Linked DNA regions of Struthio camelus. The protein of the gene in region 2 purifies or fractionates together with the protein of the main gene of each other region. This does not show direct contact. Links are inferred from orthologs where the notes say so. Each region holds a gene or a part of one and is shown on either strand. Other genes may lie near its edges. The genes, in order: CAPZA1, CNOT1, TOB1 and CAPZA2.

Evidence for each region.
Region 1: the proteins of CNOT1 (region 2) and CAPZA1 purify together in Homo sapiens (affinity purification with mass spectrometry; 3 studies listed by BioGRID and IntAct, with this or other methods). This does not show direct contact. The link is inferred for Struthio camelus from reciprocal best matches to the Homo sapiens genes CNOT1 and CAPZA1.
Region 3: the proteins of CNOT1 (region 2) and TOB1 purify together in Homo sapiens (co-immunoprecipitation; 3 studies listed by BioGRID and IntAct, counting the BioPlex papers as one, with this or other methods). This does not show direct contact. The link is inferred for Struthio camelus from reciprocal best matches to the Homo sapiens genes CNOT1 and TOB1.
Region 4: the proteins of CNOT1 (region 2) and CAPZA2 purify together in Homo sapiens (affinity purification with mass spectrometry; 3 studies listed by BioGRID and IntAct, counting the BioPlex papers as one, with this or other methods). This does not show direct contact. The link is inferred for Struthio camelus from reciprocal best matches to the Homo sapiens genes CNOT1 and CAPZA2.

What each region holds. Positions count from the first base shown.
Region 1 is NC_090965.1:9,481,207-9,488,645, reverse strand, and holds the start of CAPZA1 (F-actin-capping protein subunit alpha-1), read right to left. Parts: upstream 3,001-7,439; 5' UTR 2,932-3,000; coding exon 2,893-2,931; intron 1-2,892. Other genes in the region: ST7L (suppressor of tumorigenicity 7 protein-like), read left to right, coding at 5,602-5,608, 6,225-6,279, 6,956-7,071. UniProt on the Homo sapiens protein: F-actin-capping proteins bind in a Ca(2+)-independent manner to the fast growing ends of actin filaments (barbed end) thereby blocking the exchange of subunits at these ends.
Region 2 is NC_090951.1:23,133,812-23,140,652, forward strand, and holds the start of CNOT1 (CCR4-NOT transcription complex subunit 1), read left to right. Parts: upstream 1-3,824; 5' UTR 3,825-3,960; intron 3,961-6,841.
Region 3 is NC_090960.1:7,337,978-7,345,140, reverse strand, and holds the start of TOB1 (protein Tob1), read right to left. Parts: upstream 3,002-7,163; 5' UTR 2,979-3,001; intron 2,715-2,978; exon of another isoform or gene 2,423-2,714; intron 1-2,422. UniProt on the Homo sapiens protein: Anti-proliferative protein; the function is mediated by association with deadenylase subunits of the CCR4-NOT complex. Mediates CPEB3-accelerated mRNA deadenylation by binding to CPEB3 and recruiting CNOT7 which leads to target mRNA deadenylation and decay.
Region 4 is NC_090942.1:29,001,457-29,009,353, forward strand, and holds the start of CAPZA2 (F-actin-capping protein subunit alpha-2), read right to left. Parts: upstream 3,012-7,897; 5' UTR 2,922-3,011; coding exon 2,883-2,921; intron 1-2,882. UniProt on the Homo sapiens protein: F-actin-capping proteins bind in a Ca(2+)-independent manner to the fast growing ends of actin filaments (barbed end) thereby blocking the exchange of subunits at these ends.

The DNA.
Region 1 (7,439 bases), on a different chromosome or scaffold from region 2:
TGCATCAATGTTGTGGCTGCAGAATAGTTCTGTATATGGAATCCTTGTAAAGGAGACTACCCTTTTAATACATGGAGGACTTTTAGGTCAAAAGCTTGACTGTTTTTTAAGAGGGTGTTTCAATGTGCCTCAAACCTTGCAGGGGAGACTTCTACAGTCTTGCAGAAATGTTTCCATTGTGGGAAGATGAGTGAAATTAAATCAATACAGTAAGGGCTCCATATTTCAAACAAACATCACAAACAGCCATGAACAAAGTAAACACTGCAACTGGAAGTTGGTTACTTCTATAAAGTATTACTCACTAGACATGCCTTTCCTCTGGAGCAACAAAATATAAAGCATTTCAGTCAACCTACTGAAATCAAGAGTGGAGTGTGGGAAACAGGCTGTATGGAGTAAAATGATTGATGTCAAGCATTTGAATTGTTGTTGCGTGTCACGTTCAGAGCTGATTTGTCTCAAAATGGTGTCAGCACGCTGGCAGGATGTTCACTTGCAGAAGCATGAAAAGACTTTCTGCAAGCTGACCTATTTCCTGGCTCATCATTACCATTTTGGGTAGTGCTGCAGTACGCTAACAGAAACTAACTTCCTTTCCATAAAATGGGGAAAGTAACAGGGAGGCTACTCAATCATCGGTTCAAGCCAACAAAACAGCAGCAGAAGCAACTTATATAGGCAATAAGGTACGTTCTGGTAGGCCCTGAACTAGCGTGGATCCTGAGCTTACCTAACGTGCCTACAGAGAGTAAAGAACTGAGGCTCATGGAAGGGAAGAGCAACAATTCATTTTGTTTTTGATTGCTGGTTTCTCTGCTTTTTCTTAAAGCACTGGCAAATTCAAGACTTAAAGGAAATGTAAAACAGTTGTAGACTTGTCCGAATGACTGTCAAATGCATGCTAGAAAAATCTTGGCTGCAAGTCTTTTTTCATAAACCTGCCTGAAGAGTATCCCTTTCTATCTGTTCTGAGCATGGAACTACTTTAAATTCACACTACGTTGCCTGAGCGCGGACACAAAGTAGAACACAAGCTCCAATTTCAAGCAAAATCCCATCTGCTCTGCCAAATAAAGTCCTTGGTTACATACAGTTCTGTCTTTCTGAAGGACAGGTGTTCCCATAAGTACTTTCAAAGAATTGTAGATTCCAAGTGAATGCAGCAGTAGGAGGGGAAAGAAAGACCTAGTGACCCCAGGTTCTTGCAGCAGAGACTTATTCTCAGCCTAAATTAACTAGGCTAAGAGTATAGTTTAGATATAGCCTACAAACAGGGACTCCAGTTCTTCTAGCTCTGTTAATAACTTGCTAGATTACCAAAGGCAACTTACTTCACCTCTCTCTCATTCTCAAAAGCTGTACCAGCATAACTCCCAGCATGATAAAGCTTTACCTTTGTTCTAATTTTCACATCAAATGTAACGATGACCTCAATGTCAGAAGCTAGAATGAAATTCAGCCAAATGCTGTATAAAATGTATATTTTATCTGTTGTCCTTGAATAATTTTCAGTTATGTGCTAATTCCTTTGGACTTTATGTTCTGCAGTACTCATTTCAAACAATGCTCATGTGATCTTAACTAACATTTTGAGTCTAACTACAGCTTTTAAACTTCTTGGATTGTATCACAAGAACATGCTAAGCTAAGTCATCAGTTACTTGGTTAACACAGGCTAAGCTATAAATATTGATGTAAAAATTGGCTTATGCAGCATAGTGTCTATAATAAATGTTATTCCCTGCCTCCTGTGAACATTTGGTCCTTCCAATGAAAAGCAAGGCGGATGAGCTGCTTTCTACAGTAGTTTGGCTAAAGTGGTCTCTTATTTTGCAATGAAACACACCAGGAACACTTGCCTGGCCAGCTGAAGATGAATAACTAGTAGCTTAAGGACAGCAGAAAATTCTCAGAACAAATATGGTTCCTGTATCCTATTAGTTTTGTTTTACGGTAACTGGGTACATAACCAGAGCACAAACCTAGTTCCATACTTACAGGAATATTAGCGGGGGAATTGCACCCTGAGGCCCTATCTGGTTCCTTCAGGAGGAACGTCACTACAATGAAGCTGAAAATGGCAGTTTGAGAGGCAAATGGAAGTAGACTCCAGGCTTGCATGATCCTGGAAGACCTATGAGCCTTGATAAGCCACTTCAGCACATTTAAAAAACCAAAAAGCTATATATATTTTTGTGATTTAAAGAAGAATAACTCCAGAATTTTTTGTTAACTATCACTTGTATGCATCTCATGTCTACGGACTTGCAGAAAAAGCTATCCCCTCATTTGTTATGTAAGCCCTAGTGCTGTCTGTAAGATGGGGACTTTTCCCTATTCCTGTGCAGGAGGAATAATCTGTTTATTTCTCCAGCTTCTAAAAGTGAAAGTTTCTTTATTTGTTCCTGCTTAGGCCCCACCATCCAATAAAATTTTTATGATCTGCAGCAAAGATAACAGTAGCACGTGGGGTAAGCAGAAAACGTGAAGACACGTTTTGAAGGTCCTCGCGATTTGGAGCCGAAGAGGCTCCCCAAAGCGCCTGTAAGGGGCTGCTAACGTCGTTGGTCTAGCAGACGCGACGGCAGCTGCGGGGGGGGGGGGGGAGATAACGTGTTTGCGCCCCCCCTAACCGCGGAGGGACGCCTGAGCTAGGGCTAAGCCGTGAGGCGTCGCGTTGAAAAACGAGCCCTTCGCCCCTGCTTGGGCCGCCCGGCGGCGCTCCCGGGCCTAGCGAGGGGCCGGGCCGGGCCCGCCGCGGCGCAGCGCCCGCGCTCGGAGGGGCCGCCGCCGCCCCGGTCCGGCCCGGCGCAGCCCTGCCGGCGGGGAGGCGGGGGCACCGCCGGGGGGGCTGCCGGGGCGGGGGGGCGGCGGCGGCCCCGTCCCTACCTTCTCCTCGTCCGACACCCGCTCCTCGAAGTCGGCCATTTTGGCAGCTCTGGGCCCGGCCCGCGCGCAGCATGCCGGGAGCGCCGGGCAGCAGCGGCGGCGGCGCCGGGGCTGGGCCGGAAGCGCCGCCCGCGCCATGTTGGCTGTGGGCGGGCGCCGCCATCTTACCGGCGGGCAGGCTGGCCGGGGCCGGAGCGGGCAGCGCGGGAGTTGGCCGCCCGCCCGCCCGCGGCCGGGGGGTGCAGGAGCTGGGGCCGAGGCGCAGCCCCGCGACCGGGGTTCCCCGCGCCGGCAGCCGCGCGGCAGAGGGAGAGGGAGGCCGCGCCCAGCCGCGGCCCGCCCCGCCCCGTCGTGCGGTCCGCCCCTATCCCGTCGTGCCCCGGCGGCGCGGCAGCCATGGCGGACGGCGGCGGGCCCGGGCGGGCGGCGGCGGCGGCGGGCCCGGGCGGCGGCGGCGGCGCGGCGCTGGGGCGCTGGGAGCAGCTGCGGCGGCGGGCGGCGGCGGCGGCGCCCTGGGCCCGCGGGCTGCTGGCGGCAGCCGCCGGCCTCGGCTTCTTCTACGCGGTGCTGCGGGTGCCGCTGCGGCTCCGCGACGGCCTGGCGGGCGGTGAGGCGCGGCGGGGCCCGTCCCCGCCCAGGCCGCCTGCGCGGGGGCTGGGTTTGGGGGGGGGAGGCGATATTTCCAGCCCAGCGATATCACTAACTTGAGTTTGAGCGCGGCCGCTGGGCTCCGCGGCTGGCGGTGCCCTGCCCTGCCCGGGTCTCGGCCCTCCTCCTGCCTCGGCCCCGCTCGCAGCGCAGGCTGACAGCTGGAAAAGCTTTCCTGTAGTTCTAGTTGGAAATCACGGTCGGAGCGGTAATGGAAAACTGCATTTTCCTGTAAATGCCAGGAGAGCGAATCCGTGTAAAACGTAGAAGACAGAATACGTTAATACGATGTACTCTCCGATAGTATAATATATATTAATTTTAGTTCACTTTTTGTTGTCTTTTGCGTCTTTGTTTTAGTGTTGCACAAGAATATGCCTTTTAAAAAAAGTAAACTCCCTCAGCGTCCTTGTTAACACGGAGTAGAGGCTTGCATCAAAGCAATACTTTTCAGTTTTAGATTAAAATGAAATAATACATTAAAATGGCTTCTTATTACTCACCAGCCATGCAGATAGTCCAAGTCATAGCTTTCTTTATCCAAGAATTTACAAAGAGGTTTTGAGTTGCATGTATAGCCTAACTAATGTTACAGACAATTTTGACAAGAGAGTGACAGATGAAAAGGATTCACTAACAAAATAACCATTATCTATGAAGATACTAAGGCTATGTCACAATACTATGTTTGCGTAGTATTTTATACAGTATTGTTTGTTTAAAAACAATTTATTTGTATTTTTTGGTTCTGCTTATAAACTTTTTAGTTTTGTTTCTCTTGACAGTGACTGTGTTCTTAAGCACTTTGACACCAAAATTCTACTTTGCGCTTACTGTGACTTCATCTTTTATTTCTGGACTGATATTTGTAAGTAGTCCACTCTTGGCCCCCCCCCCCCCTTTTTTTTTTTTTTTGTTTAACAGCTTTTGAACTTGTTAAGGTGAAATGCAATAAACTTCCTTTTTTTTTTTGAACAGGCTCTAGAGGGTGCCTTTGTACTACAAAGGAACTTACTGTTTAGTATCTCTTCTGGTGTATTATAAGCGCTCTCTTACTATGAAGCCTAAGTAATCTGTATCTGTTTTAGGAATTCAGGCTTGTTTGAAGTGTGTACGTATGTGTGTACATATATACAAGCATGCACACACACACATGTATATGGGAATTATGCTAAATACGTTTCCTAAAAGAAAAAGAGTGATTTTTGGTTAGCAACTATTTGTAGTAATGTTTCTTACCAAGGAGTGCCATTTGTTTGAACATGACTCTTTTCTGCATGCTAGTGGAAGTACTCCGATAAGTTTGTCCAGGGCTGACAATGTAATATAGTGCTTGAGGACTGTATTATACGTGTGCAGATATTTTTAATAGCATAAAAAAGAAAGACAGTAATGCTTTTGATCCAAAATTTCTAGTAAGTGAACGAGATTACTGTTACTTAAGACTTCCCCCTTTGAACTTTGACTGGCAGAACATCTCAGTTCAACCATCCATTTTGTGCCTTATTTTTAGATTCATTTTATTAAATGAAAAAGCTACGCCCACTGTGTGATTCTTGCCTCTGTCTCTAGTTTCCCTGTACTGCACACTTTGGTCTTAAAAGATCCAGACACCTTCTGAAAGGGTTTAGAATTTAGCTTAATGACTTGGGGAGGGAGGAACATATGTTTGAAAATTTTACTGTGTTTTTTTTCAGTCTCTTTCATGTTATGTGGGAGATCTTGCATGACAAGACAGGCATGAAACAGTTAATTGGTGTTAATTTGTACGTAGATAAGTTCTATCTGTAGTCATTTTCAAGAGTCTGTCCTTGCTGTTGAGTTTACTCTTCATCTCTTATGTTTATATTGGAAGGGTGTTGCCTAAGAAAATTTCTGGTGCTTTTTTTACTCTTATGACAGGTGTTTGAGTGGTGGCATTTCCGAAAATACGGCACATCTTTCATTGAGCAGGTATCTGTGAGTCATTTGAGGCCCCTCATTGGTGGAGTAGAAAGCAGCCCTCCAGCACCAGTAGTGTTCTCAGCTAACAGTGGAGAGCATGAGACAAACAGGCAGAATATGCCAGGTGATTGTTAGTGTCCCTACAATTTTCCTGGAGCTTCAAGAAGGCCTTGTTCAAGTGAATTTACTTTTCTTTTGAGTGGTTTTGATTCTGCATTAGTGCTTATAGTAACTGGAGAAAGGCTTACGCTTTACCAATGTATTTTATCAATAACGGTAAAAGAAATTAAATGATACGTAATATATTACATAGTATCTTTGATTTAAAACATTCGTTATTAAAAGCATCATTTTGAAAATGTATTACACGTTTAGCTAAAACTGTTTCAGTAAGGTTAGATTTTTTGCTATTCTAAATACGTACAAGGTAAACAATGCATGATTGTGAATGGCAGAGTTTAATTTTTCCACCATGTGCTTTTGTATGATGGAAATTCTGGGGGGGGAGGGAGGGGGAAACCCGTGGGACAGCAGAAGCTCTAGGACGCAGAAAAAGATCGTGTGTGTGTGTGTATATATATATGTTTATAAAAATCATAATTGAGATGAGGCTATAAATCTCAAATTAAAACCAGTTGTTGCTGAAGTAAAACTATGTAGTTGCTATATTTTAAAGTCAAGGTAGTATTTCTTGTGCTCTTAATTCCAAAAGTACTTTTTTTTTTTTTAATCATTTTCAGAGTGCAAAGTGTGGCGAAATCCTCTCAATCTTTTCAGAGGGGCAGAATATAGCAGGTATTAATAATCTTATTTTTCATTGCATGGTTTTGAAATTAATCTGGAATGTATTTATGACATGTTCCCAGAGCTTGCAGTAGTACTACTGGGAGACAGTTAAGACCTACAAGATTATAGGGTTGAAGTTTGGATTGATGCCAATCCTGTGTTTAAAAAGCACCTACCCAGACTTTGGCAGTTTCAGTGTTAAGAATGCAAACGTCACTGTAAACATCACCGGCTTTTCAGAGTAAAGTAGGAGAAGATTATAATTGGATTTATTTCGTTCTTTTTTTCAGAAAACTCTGGGAAAATCATGGTCTCACAGCTGTTGAGTTATTTTATTCTGCATTTGAGACCATGATTCTAAATCTGAAATATCCCTTTTTAAACTAATTTAGCTGTGCTGTAAATCTCTGTGCTATTTCATAGGAAAAGGTGCTTCTTAGGTAGCCAGTCCCAAGTCTCTTAGAACTTCAGGATCAAAAAGACTTTTTTTTTCCTCTGCAGGAAGCCTTCTGGCAACCTGTACAGATTATGGAGCAGTAGTACTTGAAAACTTCTGGTTAGTAGCCCACTCTTTTATTAATAACGTTTCTGCACTAGCTTCAGTCAAGCGCATCAGGTATTATCCTTTGGCATCAGCATTACTGTTTACTAGCAGTACATTTTACTGAAATTTCTCTTGTTAAAGATACATGTGGGTGACTGGGAAGGAGCCTCTTACATATTATGACATGAATTTGTCAGCTCAAGATCATCAAAACTTTTTCACATGTGATACGGATGCCCTTCGGCCTTCAGATACAGGTACCAGTGATGTATGTATGAGAGAGATATATATATATCTATATGGAATGTGTAACGTGGATATTTTTAATATATTCAATATAGCACAAGCTATTGTGTGAACTGCCTTGTGAAACAATAGCCTTTCTCTACTACTTAGGTGGTTTAATAGATGTGTTGAGTGAATAGGTCTTTTTTTCTTTTTATATTGTGCTCTCTCTGTTGGCTTTAAGGGTGGTCGTGCATCAGGATCCTGAAATATTTTAAGATCTCACACTTATTAAATAATTAACAATATGATGCTGAAAACCTGAATTATTCTTCACAACCAGTGCAGAGGTCTGATTTAAACAGACTGTTGATGAACAGTGCTGTCTCTGTGATTTTGT
Region 2 (6,841 bases):
GGGGGCTGAGGCAGGGGTGGGCAGCTCCCCACATGCCTGGTGCTCCCACAGGGCTGAATGTGGTGCTAGGATAGCACAGAAATGGGGTGGGATTTGGGGCCACAGAGGGGAAGGACGTTTTGTGGTCCCTCTTGGATTACACATGCTTGGTAGAGCAGGGCTCTGCTGGTAGGAGGTGGCACATGTTGTCCCTTATGTTTTATGTCCCCACCACATGGGATTAGACCTTGCGTCCATGCAGACCCTCAGGGAGCTACTCATACCGGGGGGTTGGATCCTTCTCAAGGCAATAGGGAACCCACCCAGGATATTATCAGTTCTCTGAGCACTGGGATGGACATACCTGCTGTGGCCTGGACGTAGCTCATGCTGCCTGCACGGCCCATCATGAAGAGGGGAGCATGCGGGGCTCTCCCTCCATGGGAACGACTCTCCTCCTCTTCCTCCTGCAGGGCTTCGGCATCAGCAATGGCATGAGCAGCTACAGTCTCAACGACCTGATGCTGATGGAGTTCTCCTGCTACCTCAGGATCATGGGGGATGAGTGAGTGGGGGAGAGCAGGACCTATCTCATCCATGGGCCACGGCTTAGCTGCCTGGGACCTGTGCAAGGAAGAGGCAAACAGCAGGTGCTGCAAATGGGGGAGAGCTGGGGGGAAAGGGAGAGCAAAGAATCCAGCTGTCTCCGGGTGCGTGGGGGACACAGGGCATGGGAGGAGGCATGTATGTGCCTCGCTGGGGCCCTTATGATGGAAATGCTCATCTCCGGTAGCGGTGGTGTGGCGTGTTCCTCCTCCACCATGTCCCATCTGGGGGTATCACCTCTCCCGCCTCTGCCCGCAGGTGTGAGCTTCGCTCAGCCAACACTGCCGTGCCAGTGGTGTCTGCAACTTCTTCAACAGCAATTAGAAGAGTGCCTGCATGGCCACGGTGAGCGGCGGGCTCTGCTCGGGGGTGCTCGGGGCACAGGAGGGGATGGGGCGGCTCAGTGTACGGCACGTCCCCTGACACCCACCTTGTGCAGAGTCCCTAGTGGCTCTGATGCATGCAGAGCCCTGACAGGGGGCTTCTCCCTGCCATGGGCTAAGCCCGGCCCTTCCCTCACGCTCTCCCAGATAAAGGAGGTGTACGGGATCATCTGTGGCATTGACCTCAACATTTACGATCTCTACGCCCCCTGCTATGGGGGGGGGGGGGGGCCGCTACCAGCAACGCTCCACGGCCAACTTCTCCAGCGTTTTGCACCGGGACCGTTTTAATGTCGAGGGGCTGCTGAGTAATCCCAGGCTGGGAACATGTCACTGCCAGCCTTGCACTCAGATTTATGCCAGCTGTGAACAGGCACCACTGCAGCTCTGCTGGGCCTGCCGTTAGCAGGCGGGGCGCGGGATTGCCCCTCCTGCCTCTGCGGAGGCCCTTGCCAGGCTTGGCGGTGCTGGGCAGGGAGCAGCACAGCCTGTCTGAGCCCCGACGCCCTTGTGACACTTGCAGGCAGGCAGGGGTGCTCTGCAAAGCCGGGGCATTGGGAGGGGGGGCCAGCTGCCTCTTCCTGGTAGGAACAGTTTGGGGTGCAAAAAGATAAAAAGAGGAGGAAGGAAGAATCTGTTGGAGCAAAGCGCTTTGCAGAGGAGAGCGGGATCGCCCCTCTGGTCCTTCTGCCTCATCCTCTTCCTCACACCCTTGTGCCCTGGAGAACGCCCACCACCAGGTCCTGGGGATGCCTGGGGACAGGCTGGCAGTCTGGATCTCAGGGTCCGGAGCCCAAGGTCCTCCTCCGGGGACGCAAAACAGGTGCCACAGGGGCTGAGGCATGGAGAGGAGGCAAGAAGGGAGCAAGCATAGTGCAAGCCCTGAAAGCAGAAATTCAGGGGATTAGAGAGAGAGAGAGAGAGGGGGGGGGGGGGCTCTGGGAGCAGGAAGGTCCAGAGGTGAAAAGCAGCCCTGAGGTCATTGCTGCAGCAGGTGCCTCTTCGTGCGGTCTGCTCCGTGTGCTCGTCGCCAGAAAGCCAGCTCCGTCCCTGGCGTGCCGGCCTGCCTCGACGCTGCGGCCATACACGTTGAGCTGAACTGTGTCGATGTCCAGGCAGCTCTGCACGTCACCCGCCACCTGCCCACCTGGGAGCTGTGCGGGTGAGGCGGCCGCCGCAGACTCCCACCACAGCTGCATTCGAAGGCCACTCTCTGGCTCTGCCAGCCCTGGTACTGCAGCGACTGGGTTGCTGGCTTCTCCCAAGAGTAGAAGAGAGCAACGTGAAGGTAGGTGCTGTCCCTGCGCGCAGGGCTGCCCCAGGGCCGGGAGGGGTGCTGGCCTGGCACCGCCCTGCGCCCTGATGGCACCTGTCGTTTCCCACCTGTGCGGGGTTTGGGGCACACGGTGCAACATGTCTGGCCTGGCCGGCTGCTGAAGATGTGCAAGAGTCTCCTGTCCAAGACCTCGCACGTGTGAGTGCCCTGCACTGCCTGCTGTGGGGTCAGGCCAGCTGCTTTGGGCACCCCGCCACCGCACGCTGCGGGGCAGGGGTTCAGCTCACCTGTCTGTGTATATGTACATAGGAATAAATGTGTTGAGTGGGCAAATGGAGCAGTGGTTTTGGCAGGGATGCCATGGGGGAAAGGCAGGGCAGCCCACCTCCCTTTCCCATGCAGGACAGGGCAGGGCCCAGCACAGCTGAGGTCTCTGGGGCAGGTTGGCACAAAATGGCCTCCGTGCGCACCCCTGGGAGGGAGCCTGGGCCACTGCACTGTGCGGGGGTGGGGGGTGCAAGTGCATGGAGCTGAGTTGCTGCACTGCGGGGAGTGCAGTGGGGGAATGCAGTGCATGTGGTGGGGGGAGTGCAGGGGGCCATACCACTGCACTGTGGGGGACATGCTGCAGTGTGTGGGGCTGTTGCACTGCCAGCCAAGGGGGAGTGCTGCAGTGTGCAGGGTCATGCCACCCAATTGCAAGGGGGATGCAGCGTTTAGGCCCCATACCAGTGGATTGCGAGGGGGGGGGTGCAGTGTGTGGGGCTGCAGCACTGGACTGTGTGGGTGTGGGGGAAGGCAGTGTGTGGGGCCCTATCAGCACAATGCAAGGGGGAGCTGCAGTGCATGTTGCTGAGGGGGAATGCAGCATGCGCGGCCGTACCACTACACTGTGGGGGGGGGCAGTCCAATGCTTGGGGCTGTACCACAGTCTTGAGGGGGGTGCTGCAGTGCTCTGCATGGAGGGTCTGGACCACAGCGGGCAGCGGGTGGGCCGTACCACTGCGTGTGCTCGCGGGGAGGGAAGCCGTCCCGGCGGCCGGCCCCGGCGAGGCGGGCTGCGTGGGTCCCCAGGCGCCCCCCACGCAGGCGGGTGGGCCCTTCCGGGGTGGCCGACACTAGTGCGGGGGGCGGGCGGGCGGAGGCGGTGCTCCCCCCCATGACTCCGCGCGCCCTTTGGCGCTCCCCTTCCACTTCCCCTTCCTGCCCCGCCCCCAGCGGAGCGCCCTGCGCTCATTGGACGGCCTTTCGAGCCTTCTCCTCCCCTTGCGAGCGCTGATTGGCAGCTTATTGCGCATGCTTCGGTCAGGATGCCTTCCGGCTCTGATTGGCCAAAGCTGTAGGAAGGACGCCTCCTCCTTTCGGCCAATCGGCGCTTGGCGCTTACTCCGCGCGGAAGGCCGGGGAGGGGGGAAGATGGGTGAACGTCCCCAAGAGGTCGCGCCGTGCTGATTGGGTAGACCGAGCGCGGCGACGCGCTCTGATTGGGTGAGCCCCTGGCGAGGGGGCGGGAGGCTAAGTGGCTGCTCCTCTCCCTCCACGCCTTCCCTCCCCCCCCCCGCTGCCGTGCCGCGAGGGGACGGGGGAGGGGAAAGGCCGCGACGTGAGCGCGCGACCCCGTCCGCCATTTTGTAGCGAAACCAGCGGAGGCGAGAGGATAAAAGCGCGAGCTGCCCCAGCCCCCCGCCTTGCTCCGGCCCTGACCCACCGCTTGAGGTGAGAGGTGCCCGCTGCGGCTGGCCTCGCTTCGGCCCGCGCCCCGGCAGTCCCAGTAGGCGGCGGGTGGGGGTGGGGTGGTGGTCGGAGCACCGGAGCCTCCGGCGCGAAGGGGGGCGGTGTCGGCGGTGACCCCCCCCCGCCTCTTCCCCCCCCCCCCCCAAGGGGGACTGGTGGGCCGTGGTGTGGGCCGCGGCGAGGCCAGGCCCCGGCGGCGGTGGGAGCAGGGTAGGAGGCGGCGGGGCCGGCAGGGGGAGCCCGCGGGGCCCGTCGTTTCCGGGGTGCGCGTGGTGCTGCCGCTGGGGCGCCCGAGGCCTGGCCTGCCCCGCTCCCTGCCCGCCACTGTCCCGGTCCTCGCGTCCCCGTTGCTGCCCTTGCCATTTCTCGAGCCGGCGTCCCGCTGAAGGAAGCAAAAGGCGAACAAACTTTCAAGGGTCTCACTTCCAAGGGTTTCGCCTCACTGTCGGCTTGGGCCGTGCATGGTGGTGATAACTGATGGGAGCCGCGAGTGTTTTCAGGTCCGCGGGATGCTGCTTGCGGTTCTCGGCGCAGGAAGAAAAGCTCCACGAACAGACTGCGTTTTGATCGCTTCGAGATGACAGCGAAGTCTTCAGCCATTTATTTTGTCTTTGTTTCTGTCTACTTTCTACTTCTGTAGAGTTGATCGTGAAAGGCGAAGCTGTGAGAAATTTGAAAAGGAGCAGGCGCTGGGCCTACCCATGAGTTAGATTTGGTGACCTCCTTAGAAGATCTGTGTTGTTGTGACTTGCCCAGTGAAAAAAAAGTAATGCGTAAACAGTGGAATATAGTAGTACAATCTGGTAGTATATCCTTGCTGCAGACTACACGGAAGAGATGCATCTCAGCACTGTCATCTCGTTAAGGGCACCCTGCATAGTAGCATAGACTTGCTTATTTGAAAACTAGGATTATCAACAGTTGGCTGTTTTGACAGATACTATTTTTTTAGAAATAGGTCCTTTGCAGTAGTTGTCTTACTCTGAGTTAGTGTTACATCCTCTGTATGGATTAAGGTTAGTGGTCAGTCACGATTTAATTTCAGCAGACCACAAATATTTTCTTAGGTTGTACTTCAAACAGAAATGAGATAATATGGAAAGTTTTTGTGTGTAAATATAATGAATAGGGACTCTTAGCCTCTCACTGTGTCACAAGTTTAGACAGTGTCTGTTTCTGAGTCTGACTTTTTAGAAGGAAGTACAACATATACTCCCTGTGCATCTTGGCTTCCTTTTTTTTTTTTTTTTTTTTTTTAAGCAGGTAACAAAACAGGTATGACATTTGACAAGTCATTCTTGAGGCATGTAACTTAAATGCTTCCTATTTCTAAGGTAACTGCGTTGTCATTGACTAAAACTACAGGTAGAGCTAGTCCAGATGAGGTAACTGTGTTGTAAGCAGGAAACAAAGTTAGCAGGTAATACATAGATGTGCTTGTCCCTTCTAGAATAGTTATTTCCTTGGTTCTTTTGTCCTTATGCTTATAAGTAGGCTTTTAACTACTGATCCCATTGTCCTGATATCCCTAAACCAAACTCTTAGTAAACTTGGTGTCTGCCTATCTCCCCTCTTTGGAGAAGGACCTAATCCTTTCTATTCTTCTGGCATAGTGTTCCGAGATACATAATACTTTTTTTTTTTTAATTGATGCTGAAATGGTTACTTTTGGTATTCAAGGCAATACTGAATAAGGTGGAACAGAGACTGTGCAGCTATTAATGAGCAAAAGTGGATAGTGAAGCTTTGTGACCCTGTGATTGGTCATCAATAAATAGTGGGAGAATTGTACCACTGAGAATCATCGTTGAAGTCAGATCTCTGTTTTGTTTCATAACCCTGGCTACTCTTACAAATAGTGCAGTTCTCATTTACTTCTTTGTTATAACACTTAACTGTTCTAAAACATTTTTTGGATGGAAAAAGCAGTCTACTGCCTTTGAGAATGGGTCCTTAATTTATCTAAAATGGAAACTTTATGCTGCAGTGCCTAACTGAAGGGAAAGGAGGATGTGAAAGTTTCTTGGATTTTTTTTTTTTTTTTAGTGTAAAATGTCCTTGTTGAGATGTGAAAATACCTTGTTGAGATGTGTAAAGTTGCCATGTCATGATGTATGCCTGATGTGTTTGAGGTAGGTTCTGCACCTGAAACTTAACTGGCCTTAACTCAGGAGCATAAGCATGTGTGCTTAGTTCAGCTGTTATCTCCAAATTAGTTACCATGTTTAATCAGCATCAGTGACTTCCAGTTGATTGGAGCTGTGTGTAGTTACACAGTAAACAGAATATTCAGGTGGTTCCTCTATGTGTAAATACCTAAATTTGAACAAGTGGAATTCAGCTGTAGCTTACTGTACTATTAATGTGACCAATGCTGTAAGGTTTTCCTTTGCGTAGTTTTCATAATGACTGCCTGTAATCTAACTTAACTGTAATGTGGTTTGAAACCTTCCCCCTCCTCCCTTTAGGAGTATTTCTAACATGGGTCTCTTGAAGCGTGCAGTTCTTTCATATTTTCTATTTGTGCATGGATTTTGCAGAAATGAGTAAGAGACTTATTCTGAAGAGCAGGTTAGTGGTGTTGCTCATAGTATATTTTAGAAGATGTTTTTTGACAGGAACTTATAACTTTACCAGTGAGCCTGATGCTCTTTCAGTCACTTGAGCTGTTTTACCCTCTGCATGGAATACACATGGCCTTAAATCTGTACAGCTCTTGAAACCCAATGGGAGTAAGTTATTTAGCTTTGCAAAATATTAACAAACCAAAGGCTAACTTAAAGAAGTTTTTAAAATGATTTTCTTTGTAAGGCTGTTTCTGAATATGTATAGAGGACTTCAGATTTGTTCATATCATCCTTTG
Region 3 (7,163 bases), on a different chromosome or scaffold from region 2:
AACTGCTTTTGTTCACGCCTGTGAAAGGTGAGGGTGTCAACTACATTCAATATGACTTAGAAACAATACTGCAGAAGGTGCACTAGGCATGTGTTTATATATACAGCACAGGGTATTTCAAAATCATATGAGCTTCCAGTTTAGCTATTCACAAAGCAGCAAGTATAATTTCTAAGACATCACAGAACTGCCAGGCCTGTCAAGGGTTCAATTACCAACCCCTATTTCGGATGATTTATAGTACTCAGCTGCAAAATTTAGCACCAGGCTATTAGTTTAGCATGAAAGGTCTTAGTCTAAGGGTCATTTATCATTTTAAAGTTTGCAAACACATTGGCTGCCTTTAAAGTTACAGAATTACAAACATATTAGTTTCCTCAGAGGATTTCACACAAATAATTCAAATTGTGCTGCACTTATTTTAAGTTCAAGTCAAGCATCCACATCAACTGTGCACTGGTGAAATTACACAAACTGAAGAGAAAATGTCTGCTGAACATATACAAGAATTTTTCCTTTCCTCAGAATTAATAAAATGATAATACAATCAGTGCATGCAAAATATGGATGCATTTTCTGTGATGGGGTGGCAATAACTGTTAAATCATTACAAGAAATTAATTCACAATTTTCCCCTTTCTGTAGTTCTTTTATATACATATATTACATTTGATAGATGTATATTTAATATATACGCATACAACTACATATTTTACATTGTCTACAGTCAGGATTTCTGAAAGTTACTAGAGCCAGCAGGGCTTTTGATAGCCTCACTCAAAACAATTGCTTTTCTTCCTCTCCGTGACTCCATTTTATATTTAAATATAAAATATGGTTGTCACTCCTTCACAAAGGACAAAAGAGAAATCACCTACCTAAAGTTAAAGAAAGGACTAGAATCAAATATTGGAACATGCACTGCTAATGAAAATCTTTAGCATAAGGTACTTGTCCAAAGAAGACAGCATTGTACAAGAAGTTCCATTAAAAAAAAAAAAAGGGTATTTTTTGGCTCAAGTTAAACACTCGGCATGAATTTCGGTTAGCGGTGTGCTTTTCTGCACTGCATCACTAAGTACAAAATTTAGTATATGTGTGACTAAAGATTAGAGAAGTCAAAGTCAATATCAAAATCCCATAAAAATGTGAATACAATGTTGCTGTTTTTTCTTGCTCCACATAATCTCCTTTTAAAGTCTGAAACTCTATTTCCAAACCACTTGTGTTCCCCTCAACACGGTATGGGAATAGTTCGAAAGCTTGTATGATAAGGCGACCTTTAAACGTTTGCTGGATCAGCACTGGGTGGGGATAAGGAAAAGATCAAGGGCAAACAGAAGATATTTACAAAAGGGACACATTCAGTACAGAAAAGCTGACTGGGTGGTTAAAAGGGATATTTAAAAATGATTTATTAATTCATCTGTTTTGTTTCCCCTCCTCCATGTCCTTTAGTAAAGAAATGATCCTTTCAAGGCACTGGGTAGACACAATAAATTCTTCTAAGTCCCCAGACTGATTCACGGAAAAGCAGCTGATTAAACAAACCAGCTTGATCATTTCAAACTTTTTTTTTTTTAATTGATGAGGACAATATTTTTAAGGGACCCAAGCACATTAATGACTCCAACAGCAAAGCAACGGCAGCGGGGGCTAAAAGCAGGAGCCGCAAGCAGCGTGTGGGGAGTTACATAACCAGGCAGTTGGGTCTCATTAGATTTCTGCTCACAGCCCTGGGAGCTCCAGCAACAGCAGGAGGAGGAAGAGCGTTTTCTGAGCCCGTAAGAAAGAAAACGAAGAAGGGGAAGGGAGACGACTGGACGAAGGGGTGGGGGTTAGCGAGGCCCCCCTCCGCACCGCACCGGCCTGGGCTCAGCGACACCCCTCCGCCTCGCCCTGCCGAGGCAGGCTCCCGGAGGACGGCTGCCAGCGCTGCCCGAGAAGGCCCAGCGCGAGCAGCGGCTATTAGTCAGCCGGCAACGCTCACTCCTCCCAGCCGCGAGCGCGTCCAGGGACCGCCTAGGGAGGGACCCTTCGGGAGCCCGGCGCCCGGTGCCGCGTCCTTCCCTCGGCCCCTTCTGCGAGGGGCTGCCGGCTGCCCCCGCGCCCTCCTTCCCGCGTCGGCCGGCGCCCCACAGCGCTGCGCCCCTCACGGCACCGCTGCCCCTCCCCCACCCTTCGCCTCACGGCGGGGCCGCCTCAGCCCCTCGCCTCAGCGGCCGTCCTCGCCTCAGCCCCTTCGCCTCACGGCGGGGCCGCCTCAGCCCCTTCGCCTCAGCGGCCGTGCTCGCCTCAGCCCCTCGCCTCACGGCAGGGCCGCCTCAGCCCCCGGCTGCCTTCAGCCCAGGGCTCCCCGCCAAGGCTCCCCGCTCCGGCCCGGGCCGCCCCCCCCCCCCCGCCCTCAGCGAGCGGTACTCACCCGGGGTGGGTGTGTGTGTGGGGGGGGTTAGTGCAAACAATCCCGGCGGGGGTGTGAGTGCTGGCGAGGGGGGAGGGGGGCGGCTCAGCACCCGACCCCCATCTCCGAGAGCCGGCTCCCTCAGCGAGGATGGGAGGGGAAAGGAAAGAAGATCAAAAAAAAAAAAAAAGAAGAGGGAGGGGGAGGGTTGGAAAAAAAAAAGGGGGGGGAGGGAAAAGGGGGGGAGGGCTGCGCTGCTCACACCCCCACAACGGGCGCACTCGGCCGCCGCAGCTCGGCTCCTTCTGCTACTGCCCCGCCGCCCGACGCGCCCCTATATATGGCCTCCCTTCCCCCGCCCACCGCAGAGCCCCGCCCACACGCCCCGCCCAGCCCCGCCCACCAGCCAACGCCCTCCCAGCAGCGTCCCGCCACGCCACGCCCACCACCTGCCTGGCCCCGCCCCCAGCGCGGAGAAGGCTCCCTCAGCGCCCCCCCGCGCGCCGGCTCTCGCCTGCCTCCCCTCCCCCCCACCGCGGCGTGGAGGGGCCGCTCTCTACGTCAACTCGCTCCTCACCTCACAACACGGTTGCGTCACTGCCTACGTCAAACCCTGCCCTCGCGCCCCTCGTCTCTGCAGGGAAGGGGGGGGCAGAGGGGGGGCCGCGCTGAACTACATCTCCCATGACCGCCGCTGCGGCGCCGGCGGGGACCCGGGCGGGGCCGGCCCTCGGGGACCGCCGGCCGCCCGCCCGCCGGGGGGCGAGGGCGCCTCACAGCCCCTCGCGGCCAGCAGCCCGGCGGCCGCTCGCTCCGTCGCCGAGCCAGCGGCAGCGGCTGGCGGGGTCAGGCGGCCCGCGGACCAGGGGACGACGAGCCCCGCTGCGGCGGCGGCCGCCGGTACCGGGCGCTGCCGCCCTCACGATGGGGGGGGGGGGGGCGCGGAGCCTCCGCCGCTGTCACCCTCCCCCTCCCCCCGCCCGCCCGCTGCGGCTAAAAATACTACCCACAGGTAGCAACGCTGACCGATTGGCTGGCTTCCCGCCTTAGTAACCGCCTGATTGGTCACTCGGTATCGAGGAGGAATACGTCAAACCCCAGTTTTGGGGGAAAACAAAAGTTACCCGGGGGGGGGAAAAGGGGGCGGCGAAGGAGGGGGAACATGGCGCAGCCGTCGCCTCAGCGCCGTGGAAAAACCCCGGCGGCGGGTCCGCGGCGAGGCGAGGCGAGGCGGCAGCCGCCGGCACGGGGCCTCCGCCGGGCTCAGCCCGACCGAGCCCCGGGCAGCGCCGGCCGCGGCGGGGGGACCGGGCCTCGCGCGGGCCTCGCTTCCCTCAGGAATAACCGGCGGCGCCACCGGCCCGGCGCTGCGGCCCCGCGGGAGACCCGGCCCGGCGGCGGCGGCGCCCAGGCCCTCGGCCTGCGGCTGCTTAACACCGTCGCTGGTTTTTGCCCTTTACATACGGCTCGTGGGTGTTACTGGGTTTTGAGTTGGGGTGGTTAGCTTCAAACCAGCGAGCAGGGCCCGGTCGTAGAGGACAAAACACAGGCAAAGGCTTTTTTCCTCCTCCTCCTCCTCCTCTGCTGTGTTTGTATAATAATAAAGTGTTTTTTGGCATAAAAGCAGCATGGGCCCCGGGAGAGATTTGGAAATACCAGTCAGAAGAAATGCCAGGACTTTAACCCTTGGGAGTTTAGACTATATGTGGCACCGTGCACGAGGCAGGCACTTGAAAAATGAAATGTTAAGGAAGCAAGATACAAAGGGTAATGCTTGGGATTTTCTACAACTGAAAAAATTTCTACTAGAAGGCCTTACTCATCATAAAACATGTAGTTTTATTCAGAAGTGTTAAGATCAGTGTTTTTAGGACTGCGATACTGCGAACGCAGACAACTTAATAGTTCAGACTCAAAATAGCCTTTTTCCCCGTTATTTTCCATTCTTTTTTAACCTTAACGTGCATCTTTTCAATGGGAATTGAGTCCTGTCATCACCATGCCCCCAAAGTTGAAAGTTTAAGAAACTAAAGTATGATGAGGATTACAAAACTATAAACATTGGCAACCTGGAGACTACTCCTGAGAATTGTTGCTGCACAGCCAAGGAGCCATATGGAAATCTTGGATTCTTTGTTTTGAAAAGGTTGTCGTTACTTCTACCACCAAAGTTAAGAGACAACGTGAAATAACTATTAATAACAGATAAGGTGAAGAGACAAACACGGGTTTTTAAAATTAGAAGTCTACTTGGTACAACAAACATTGAACAAATTGGCAGATAACATCAGCTCTTTCAGAGAGTTCAACGTGTTACTTTGCTCGGGGTTCTGCAGTGAGTGGGGCTGGCGGTAGCAGATTTCCCTTTGAAGGGCAGAAACTGCACAGCTCCGTGGATCAATTTTTTCAGGTGAGATTTACTAAGTAGCTTTAAAAACGAAATGACTGTGCAGCTGAGTTGGTAAAAAGAAAAGATGAAAGGTTATAAAAGCAGAGACTTTCTTTTAAATGACTTCAACACTACGTGAAAAGCATTAGGGGCTGAACTGAATATACAAAGCAAATATATTTTTAATTAAGGCTGCTGTGGGAGCCTTCAAAGCTGTAAAAACGGTGGTGTACCTTTTTATGGCTTGTGTAAAGGAAACTTCCAATGCAGTAATGCTAAAATTGCATAGAACTGAAAAAAAATCTGACATACTGTGTTAAGACAGGTGATTGCCTTAAGAACAATCTCTTCAGGTCAGCAAGAAGGAAGCTCACTTCTAAAGGTCCAATGAAAGTTTTAGTCTGTCCTCATTTGTTCAAAAAGAAAATTCTGACTTTTAAACTGCAGAGATGTGTCTCCCATGTATAACACATCAAAAGTAGTTGGTCAAACTTTATTAATGTTAAGTTTCTAGCACTTAAAAACACAGCGTCTAATCCAGTATCGCTCCTGTCCTTAAAACCTCAACTGACTTCTAAGAAGTCAAAGCAGGAAAAGAAGTCAAAATAGGGCCTGCAATATTTTTCAGTCCTTTTGATTAATACACAGCAATAACAAAATGTCTACCTCTCCCTGGTAGCAAAATCTTTAAAAATGCAATCAATACAAAATAACAACTCCAGCAGCAAAATGTTACTCCTCTTGCCAACTCTCTTCAACTGAAAGATTAATCTTAAAAGAAAATACCTATATATTCTCATCTTTCCTGACAAACCTTGACAGTCTGTCTCTCTAGCAGAGCAAATCAACAGAAGTATTTCAGACCACTGCAGGGAGGCAACAGCGAGATTAGAAGGAAGGGGCCTTCCTTAATCTGTATTAAACTAGAAGGGCTGTGAGCTCACCCTCTGTTCATAGCCTAGTCTGTGGTGGCCGTCATATTTCCAAGCACCAGAAACTGAAATAGTTTCAACAGTCTAGGTCTCTGCAGTCTGAAATTGTAGAGCCAAGATCTCCGGGTTGTCAGAGACCTACGTCCTCTGGACCAGAGGGGACCATGAACCGTGCAATGCCCAGATGCTTAGGAACTGCTTGGAGAGAAAGCAGGGGTGTCTCAAAAGGCCTAACCCAAACTGCATTTCACAAATGGTTCAGACCTCGTTACAGGCAGAAAATAGCAGTCGAGGAAATTAAAAGGACTCCAGGTCTCTGTAAGGACACAGGGCTCCATCAACACACACATTTGGCCTTCGCCCACTTCTCGTCATGTTCCGGTCCTGGTTCACGTGAACTACCCCAGTGCTGTTTGGCTTCCTAGTAATGGATGTGTAATGACTCTACAAAAGGACCTCCTTTTCTTCACTTAAGCAATGTAAACTTGCTTCTTTTAAAAATCTAAATCGGTATTAGATGATGACCAATATATTACCTAATACCAAAATAGAGTTTATTAATCTCGAAAGTTTTTTAAGGGGATTAAAAATATCCAGGAAAATGTTTAATCATCAGAGTCAACCTGGACAAGAATTTAAGAGAAGTAGCAAGTAAGATGCAGAATTTTCATCACCCATCTCTGTCCTTTTCATCTTCTCTAGTATATGAATGTTACCCTTTACAGAATATATAACATTTATCCTGACCATGGACCTAAAGCTTTGCAAGGTACATTTCTGAATATGGTACAGTCTCTTTTTTAACATTTTCCTATTTAGGAGCACAATGCGCGTGGGAGCCTTGGCTTTGATTTTGAAGAAGTGGAAATTTTTTCCCCTGTATTCTTCCCTCTCTATCCCGATTTTATCCATTTGCAGATTTTACCACTCGTTCCTTTTCCCTATTATCTACCAGTGTGAACAACCAATCCTGGCTGCTCTCCCACACATATCTGCCCTTAACAATAATTTTGAAATGTAGCATAGATTCTCTTACATTTCATTTACCAGCTTAAGCAGTATTTTTCCTATTAATATACGTTATGGAATATGTAAATACATATCAGATGTTGCCCAGCTTCAGGAGCTCTGTGGCTACAAGGACTGTTCAGGTGGGAACCATGGTAGGAGCCTGAATGTAACATTGTTTTAATGGAATCAAGAATGACCAAGAGCAGAGGCATTCAGCCCAAACAGAGACGTTGGTGGGGCATTGCCCCTGCAGTAGCAAGCCAGGTCATCTGCTAGGGAAGCCCCAAGCTCCTCTGTAACTATGTGAAGGGGCAAACGGGCAAACGGTTACCACCGATGAGGAGCAGCTCACTGGCTCGGTGCGAGTTTTTATGCCAAGGCAGGAGTGCACAGAGCAGGAGGTGTGTGTGTGTGTGTGCAAACTCCTGTT
Region 4 (7,897 bases), on a different chromosome or scaffold from region 2:
CTCAATATTAGTCTGTTTCACACCAGGGGGAGACAAGTGTAGAGAGGAGCAGTGTGATTTGTTCCTGTTGAAAAATAAACATTTGTCTACCTCTACTCCTAAATTTGCATTATAGTCCCAACTGGATAGGTGAGAAGAGTGTGCTTTTCAAAAGCTATTCAGTAGAATTTTTTAGCTCCATAATAGTGAATGACTGAACATGTACGGAGCTAGACAAGTTTTAATTTCAAAAACATTTGTTGCATCATTCATAACAGATTTCAATTAAGACATGAGCAATTAGGCACACTGAGGAAATTTGGTTCAACATCTCCAAGACATGCCGTAAGAATATGTATTTCTAAATTTCTTTCCTTATGTAGTGCTTGTTTAGTAGCCTAATAGAGGGTAAATCTGTCCACTTAAGATTATGGTGACTTTCAGGAGAAATAAACAAACAAACAACTTTACTGTAAACTGACTGTCTTTATTTAAACCACTTATAGTGCACATTCATCTAGATTTCAGTTTAATACCATCAGAAAAGGATTAAACGTTTAAGCAGTATAGCCTTGTACTGTAAAAAAGCACAGAACTTCAATATACCAGTGCTTTCAAATAGATTAATAAAAGGCTATCCAAAATAAGTTTAGTGGCAAAGCGTAAACATAAATAAGGCCATAAACAAGTCCGCAACACTTTGAGGACTCTAGTCTTTCTGAACACCGGGTGGGAGCTGCAGTACACTGTGAACACTTGTTTTAGAATGGATAAATACATTAAACCTGACACACCTTCTAAAATGTTCAGATTAACTGAAGCTACTGCAAGCACCTCTTCCATGGAAACGGAAAATCCTTAGGTATCACAAGTTCTGCATGGACATTTTCCTGCTTTTGCAAGAGTTTGCAGCACTGCCCATCTTTGTTTTATTAGCCAATTAAATAGATTGCCAGGCTTGGAAAATTCCAATGGTGTAGGACAATCAATTTTATATGTGACTGAAGTGGACAAAGGAATTAATAGCATCATTACTGAAAAAAGGGAAAGAAAAAGAAAAAAAGGCCGTAAAGCTGGCATTTAGCAGGATCGGGGTGGGGGAGAAAGGGGCTATTTTTTTTGGCCGGGGTTGCTAAAACTTCAAAGAGGTAGGAGAGCACTGCACCTCTGCTTTCTTCTAAGATGAGACAGTGAAAAACATTAAGCTAAGACTGGACCAAGGGGTAAGAAAGATCACACTTATAGAGCACATGGGAGACAAAAGATTTCCTTCACTGATCTCAGAGCACTCGACAAGGTGGCCAGTTTAAGTTTACAGTGGAAAAGTGCAGACTCCATTCGCTTATGCTGAGGCAGAAAGAGACTCTAGAAGGCTTGCACTCGGTTTGGGAGAAAAGGGAACCTGCAATTAATGGACAGAAGAAAGTCCTGTATTTAACTATAACAGTCACAGAAGCATGGGTAGTGCTTCTCAGTTTATACAGAGGCAAAATAGAACTGTCACTGTATCTTACAGTACCACAAATAACTTTGACTAAAAGTTTTTTCAAGTACACTCCCTATCCACAACACAATGGATTAGAGTTATTTTGTAGAAGTTCCTACAGGACAAAATAATGGACTGCCACATATATTTCTTGGTTACATTCCTACTCGTACCAACACAGAGATGGTATTCGAATATGAATTAGGTAGAGCAGGACACAGTTTTAAAGCCTCATGTTGGGCTAGCGAGATCCTGAAGCTATGTGTCTCTTAGCACATCGGTGCATCTCTTGTTCTGAAACTTGGCAATGTTAACCTCAAACACGCAGAAAGCCTGCCTTGTTGTCACCACCAATTAGACATTTCAAACATCCTTCTTCTAACTTCAGAGAAGTGTAAAGCATTGTTTCGTTGATGTCTCCCACGTTTAAATCATCTCAACAGCTTCTACAGCCATATAAACCTATGTTTTTAATCAGAAATAAATGACACCATGCATTACATAAAGATATGGGCAGTGCACCATCATGTACACAAACTACCACACCCTAGCTCTGAAGCAGGCAACTGCCATGACCCTGGATCCAACAGAAGATAAGGAGCACTGATAATCGGGGTATTACAAGACACCCCACTCTTTGAGAGATTTTCAGGAAAATCCGTCTTAAACTTGACGACGTTTCCAAGAGCCATAAGCAGAGACTGCACGCAGCTCGTTAACACAAACCGCCTGCTCCCTGACCTCAGACTTCCCCAACTGCTGTCCCTTAAGAGGAAGTACAGGGCTGCCCACCCCCAGCGCCGACCTCCTCCCCCAGATCTCCCGTATCCCAGCTCCTCCCGGAGACCGCGGGAGGTGAGCGAGGGGACGACGACACCGCGGGCCTGCGCTGGAGCTAGGGCCGGGGCACAGCCCCCCTCGGCGGGGAGCAGCGCTGGCGCTCCGGAGCGGCCAGCTGGCACCGGGAAGGGGCCGCAGAAACGGGAAGTGGAGATGGGGGAAGGGGAGGGGAGGGGAGAGCAGAGCAGAGGACGGTCCCTGCGTGGCTTTCCCCCCCCTCTCTCTGCGGTGCCCGCTCGGCCCCCTGCCCGGCGGCCGCTCCCCGCCCTGCCCTGCCCTGCCGGCCGCCGCCGGACACCGGATCCCGCCCCCCGCCGGGCCCGGCTCCTGCCCGCCGGGCTCGCACCGTACAAGGAGCGGCGGGGGATGCCCGGCGCGGCCCTGCCCCCGCCGACCCTCCTCCCGCCCCCCTGACTGACAGGCCCCGGCGCAGGGAGAAGCTAAAAATACGAAACGCCGCGGCTGCTGGCGACCCCAAACGGCGAGGGCCGAGCTCGCCTCGCGGCTCGAGGAGCGAGGAGGCAAAAGGGGCGCGCCGGCTCGGCTGCGGCGCAGCGGCCCGCCCGCTCGCCCCTACCTTCTCCTCATCGGACAGCTGCTCCTCCAGGTCCGCCATCTTCCCGTCTGGCTCCGAACAGCGCCGCTCCGGCCGCCGCCCCCGTCCCCGTCTCCTCCCTCCCAGGCAGGAAGGGCGGGGCCCCGCGCCCCCTCCCCCCCACCGCGGCCCGCTGGGGAGGCGCCGTGACTGCGCATGCGCCTGGCCCGGGCCCGGGGCCGAGCCCGGGGCCGGGGGGCGGGGGTCCCGCTGCGGGGCGGCCGGAGGAGGGGAGGGGGCGGCCGGGCCGGGCCGGGCCGGGCCTCACGCTGTTAGCGTTGGCCTGGGCCGCCGCCGTGGGGCGGGAGGGGCCGCGGGGGGGCCCGGCGCTGAGGGAGGCGGAGGGCAGCGCCGTGGCGGTGCGGCTGCGGTCGGCGCTGGCCGCCGGGACAGAGGAGGCCCGCAGCCCTCGCCGCCATCGCCGTCCCCATCCCCGCCCCCCGCGGCCGGGGGCGCTCGGGCGGGCCGGAGTTGTGGGTCCAGCCTGGGCTGTGACTTGGCCTGTTTCAAATGGTGGTGGGCGCTGGGTGGGCCGGCCGCGGGGGCGAGGGCTGCCCCGGGGCGCTGCGCCCCGCTGAGCGTCCCCCGAGTGAGGGACGAGCAGCGCGCCGGCCCGCGCCGCGCCTGCTTTTCCTGGGTGCTAAAGTGAGTCACTTGAATGAGTCCACTGGAAGTCTGTGTGGGTGGAAAGAACTACAGATTGCCAGATTTCTGACATCCGCTCAGCAGCATGCCTAATGCGGGTTAGCGTCTCCTATGGCTAGGAGGGGGCGGGGCTGGGAATTTGCATGGAGGCAAGTTTCAAACAACAGAATGTTTGCTGGAATTTCATGAAGTTTGCTGGAAGAAACTTCAGAAAGTTCCGTTCGGTGCCAACAGCAAAGACCGAGAAAGTCGACCTTGTAAAGTGGTTGGTACTCTTGGATTGGATGAATAAAATGAGTGTAGTTAACCAGAAGAAACAACATTAGATAGGCTGGAAATTTCTTACCACCAAAATAAGAAACCTTTAGATAGGCTGGAAATTTCTTACCACCAAAATAAGAAACCTGAAGAATATCTTCTGGCTGCGTGGAACTGCAGGTGCCCAGAGGGATATTTGAAGATGATGGCTTTTAAGAACTGACTGAAAGAAGAGGTAATAAAACAAACTTTAGAGAAAAGCAGTAATAGAAGAAAGAGAACATTTGTGTAGCTAGCAGTGGGGATTTTGGACGAGTGAAATTCAATAACCTGTGCCAACAGTGTGACCAGTAGCAGGTGCCCAGGGAATGGTGAAAAAACAAGGCAAATACATACTGATACTTCTTGGGAATGTTTCCTCAGCTGCCAGTATTGTGGCTAGGAAGACAGTCCTCCTCGGTGACTCCCTCCTAACAAGGGTTGTCAAACTATTCTTCAAGGGTCTGATAGACAGCAGGAAATTTTGTTTTCTTACAGGAGCAAACATAAGGTCAGACTGGTAAAACAGGTAAGCAGGAGAAGCTGTTTTAATAATGATCCATTCTGGCAACAGTGCGATAGCAATAGACTCCACTGTACAGAAGCTGAACAATTTTAGAGGCCTAAAAAAGAAACCGAAGGAGGAGAACAGTCAGATGACCTGTTCAAGAACTCCTTCCTCTTCCTTGATCAGAAGTAGAAAGTACGTGGGAAGTATTTAACTTAGCCAAGTAGGACGTTTGGGTTTTATGGAACAGTAGAATAAACTGAATAGAACTGGGTGGCTATAGTCTTCATCTTACTAGTATGAGTAGCAATTTCCTGGATGATAAACTAGCAAGGGCAGCTGAGAGAATAAAATGAAAAGGGGAGACTAATGCCAGAGATATCCTTACACCACATGCTAATATATGACAACTCCAAAGCATTACGAAATGAGCCCAGTTATTTGTAAAGGATACATCCTGCAGTTTACTGTGCATTAATGCTAGGAACCTAAAATGCACAAGACAATTTGGAGCTTGAGAAAGATGATACGATTAGTATAACAACATTATTTGGTCAGGTCTTGTGCCTGGGCTATTGAAATCAATAGTTCAGACCTTGGTCCTAAGGACAGAAAGAGTAAAAGGACTAGTGTATTATACTGGAGAGGCCTGTAGTGGTCAGAGACATTTCAGAAGAATAGGTTCTTAATTATTTGTAGATTGAAGTTCTAGTTCATTCAGTGAAAGATAGTCTGCTGTGGACCACCCAATCTTGCTAGAGAGTGAGGTGAACTTCTTAAATATCTGCTCCTAATATGTAAGGAACTTTGTTACTGTTACTTCAGACTGAAGGAAATATGGTGGAAGGATTGTATGTCCAGTAATAACTCTTTGCTAATCTTTATAAAATATTAGTTTCTTAATGTCAAGCATGGTGTACTTCAAGGTGAACAAAGAAGAGCTGATCATTGACTTGAAAATTCAGAGATGCCAAGGTACATGTGAGTAGAGCATGATTAATGGTGTGAATGTAGCCAACTTCTAGCCGACAGATCTTGTTATGCTATAAAGTACATCCACAAGATGTGTTTTTTTTGCATGAGTATCCATACACAATAGTTGATGTAGTCACATGCAATATAGCAAAATATTCCCCAAATTTGTATAATCTTTCAAGGCTGTCACTCTAGGTGCCTTAAAATGTTCGTTGCATGCAAGTGAAAGAAAGTGATATTGGACAAGAAGTCATTGCAGTCAAAGGGGTATGTGGAAATTATGATGACACCATAAATCAATATATAAACAAAAGATATAAAAGTAAAAACCAATGAATGTACAAATTAGACAATGTGGCTTATTCAGGAAAGTTGAAAAGATATATAAAATATCTGTAGTTACTGAGGATAAAGACAACGGACATGTTAGGAACAAAATAATGGGCAAGCAAACCTTATATTTGATAAGGCCATTGCTAGATGCAAAATGATGAAGACTAGTGCAGAAAAGGCATGGTCTATGGGTATTTGGTTTTGGAACATCTCATATAATGTTTCTTAGACTCAGTGATAAAAGTTAGTGGTCTGTAGCAGGAGGAAGCGATGAGCAACATCTGTTGAACAGTTTCAAGCAGGAATTGATAACTTCCACCCGAGAGTCTTAGAGTAAATAGCTGAAGAGCTCTGTGAAATGCTCATGTTATTTTTTAACAAACTTAGGGATTTCCCAGTTACTAGGATATACCATGGAAACTGCTATATTTAAAATGTAAAAAGAGGTTCATTCAATAAGGTAGATCTTGTCATACAAACATGAGTAGTTTTCCGTTAAGATGACATATCTGGCTATTCGATGTACAATGTTTGCACAGAGTCTTTTCTTGAAATTTGCTGCAATCGCTTTGATGATGTGAATGACTTAGAGAAGAATTGTGCAGTCACGACAGATATTAAAGGGAATCTTCAATGTGGCACTCTGGCAGGTGCTTTAATGTGACCTTAGGACTTAATGGGAAAGCAGTAATTCAGCAGGATTAAGTAGGGCTCTCGCTTTGTGACTCAGTGTTGTTGTGAAGGGCTGGTGTGCCTTTTCAGAAAGAATGTGGAAATCTTGGAGAGTGTTTAAAGGAAGACCAAAAATGATCCTGAGGATATACAACAAATTTCAGGATGTGAGGCTTAAGGAGGTCCAATTAAGGAGATTATTGAAGAAAAGACTAAGAGGTGACTTAGGAAATGATTTATTTTCAGTGACTGCAGGATGAAGCATTGATACTCAAGTTAGCTTAGAATATATCTGCATCTTATATGAAGTCATACCTCTTTACTGAATTCTGAATACCTCAATTCTGAATTGATCTACTGGCTGAAAGTTAGCCATGCTCATCTTTTTGCTATAAAGTTCACCCACATCAGCTATGTTTTTCACATGCTAGTGTCTATACACAATAATGAAAAGTTCATGTGCACTGCAGTCACATAAAGTATAGCAAAATATCGTCAGTATTGTTAACTAGCTAGCTCATGTCTTAATAGATGTCTAGTCACACTACGTGAAACGCACTGTGGGCTGCCAAACCTATCTGATGAGCAGTGTGTGGTTAACTGACAGAAAGAGAGAAAACAAATTGATTTTAAAAAGACTTCTTTTTGAGTTCTAATTAATCTAAGCAAACATGATAGATCTACCAGTCTTGTACCTTGATATTTTGCACTACTATTTCTTCCATTTCTATGTATGACTTTGTAGGTCCAGAACCCTGGCCCTTGATTACAATGGGAGGAAGAGCACAGCAAGCCTTCCTGTGAGGCCTCCCTGCAGAGCCGTGAAAATGGTTTGGGAGAAATGCGGTTTCTGTGCTAAAGTGATCCTGATGACTGGCAAGTGGTCAGTTTGGCAGAGGGGGTTAGGAGAGCATACTTCTCCTGTCCTTTTGCACTGACCCCAACAGTTAAGATAAACAATGCAGAAAAATGAAATTACATTTTCGTTCTTCTCATTCAAGACAAGTGATCAACATCTGATCCCTGCTGCGTCTGTTCAGAGCACAAATTGATGAAGTCAAGTGTCTTCAGTGTTCACTTGTTTAATCTGGAGGATGTACTAAGTTTTGTTTCCTAGGACAAAGGTGGAATCAAGGCAAGCTCTGAGCCTCTCAGAGAGTGCTCCAGGCAGTGATTTGGGAGTATCCAGAATGAATTGGAAGGCTGTGTCTGTCCCTGCTCCTTACTGTGGGAAGTGTCTCCCTAGATCCTGGCACCTTGTGGTGTAAATCCTCAGATCCCTGCAGGTTGGGGGGATGCATTCTGGATTTGCTGAGATTCCCAAATATGTCTCAGATACTTGGGCCCTGGGGATTGCCTGCCAGTTTGGATCTGTTATTTTGGGGAAATAAAATATCTGATGTTTGCAAACTTGCAGTTTAGTAGCTTTACAGTGAAAGCAAATGGGTTTATTCTAAAAAAGCAAAATGTTAAATCCTTACAATAGTATTAGAAATAAAACTGTAACAGGAAGAAAACTATAATAAACTGCAGCTTTAGAAAACCTGAGACTGAGCTACCTTCTTAG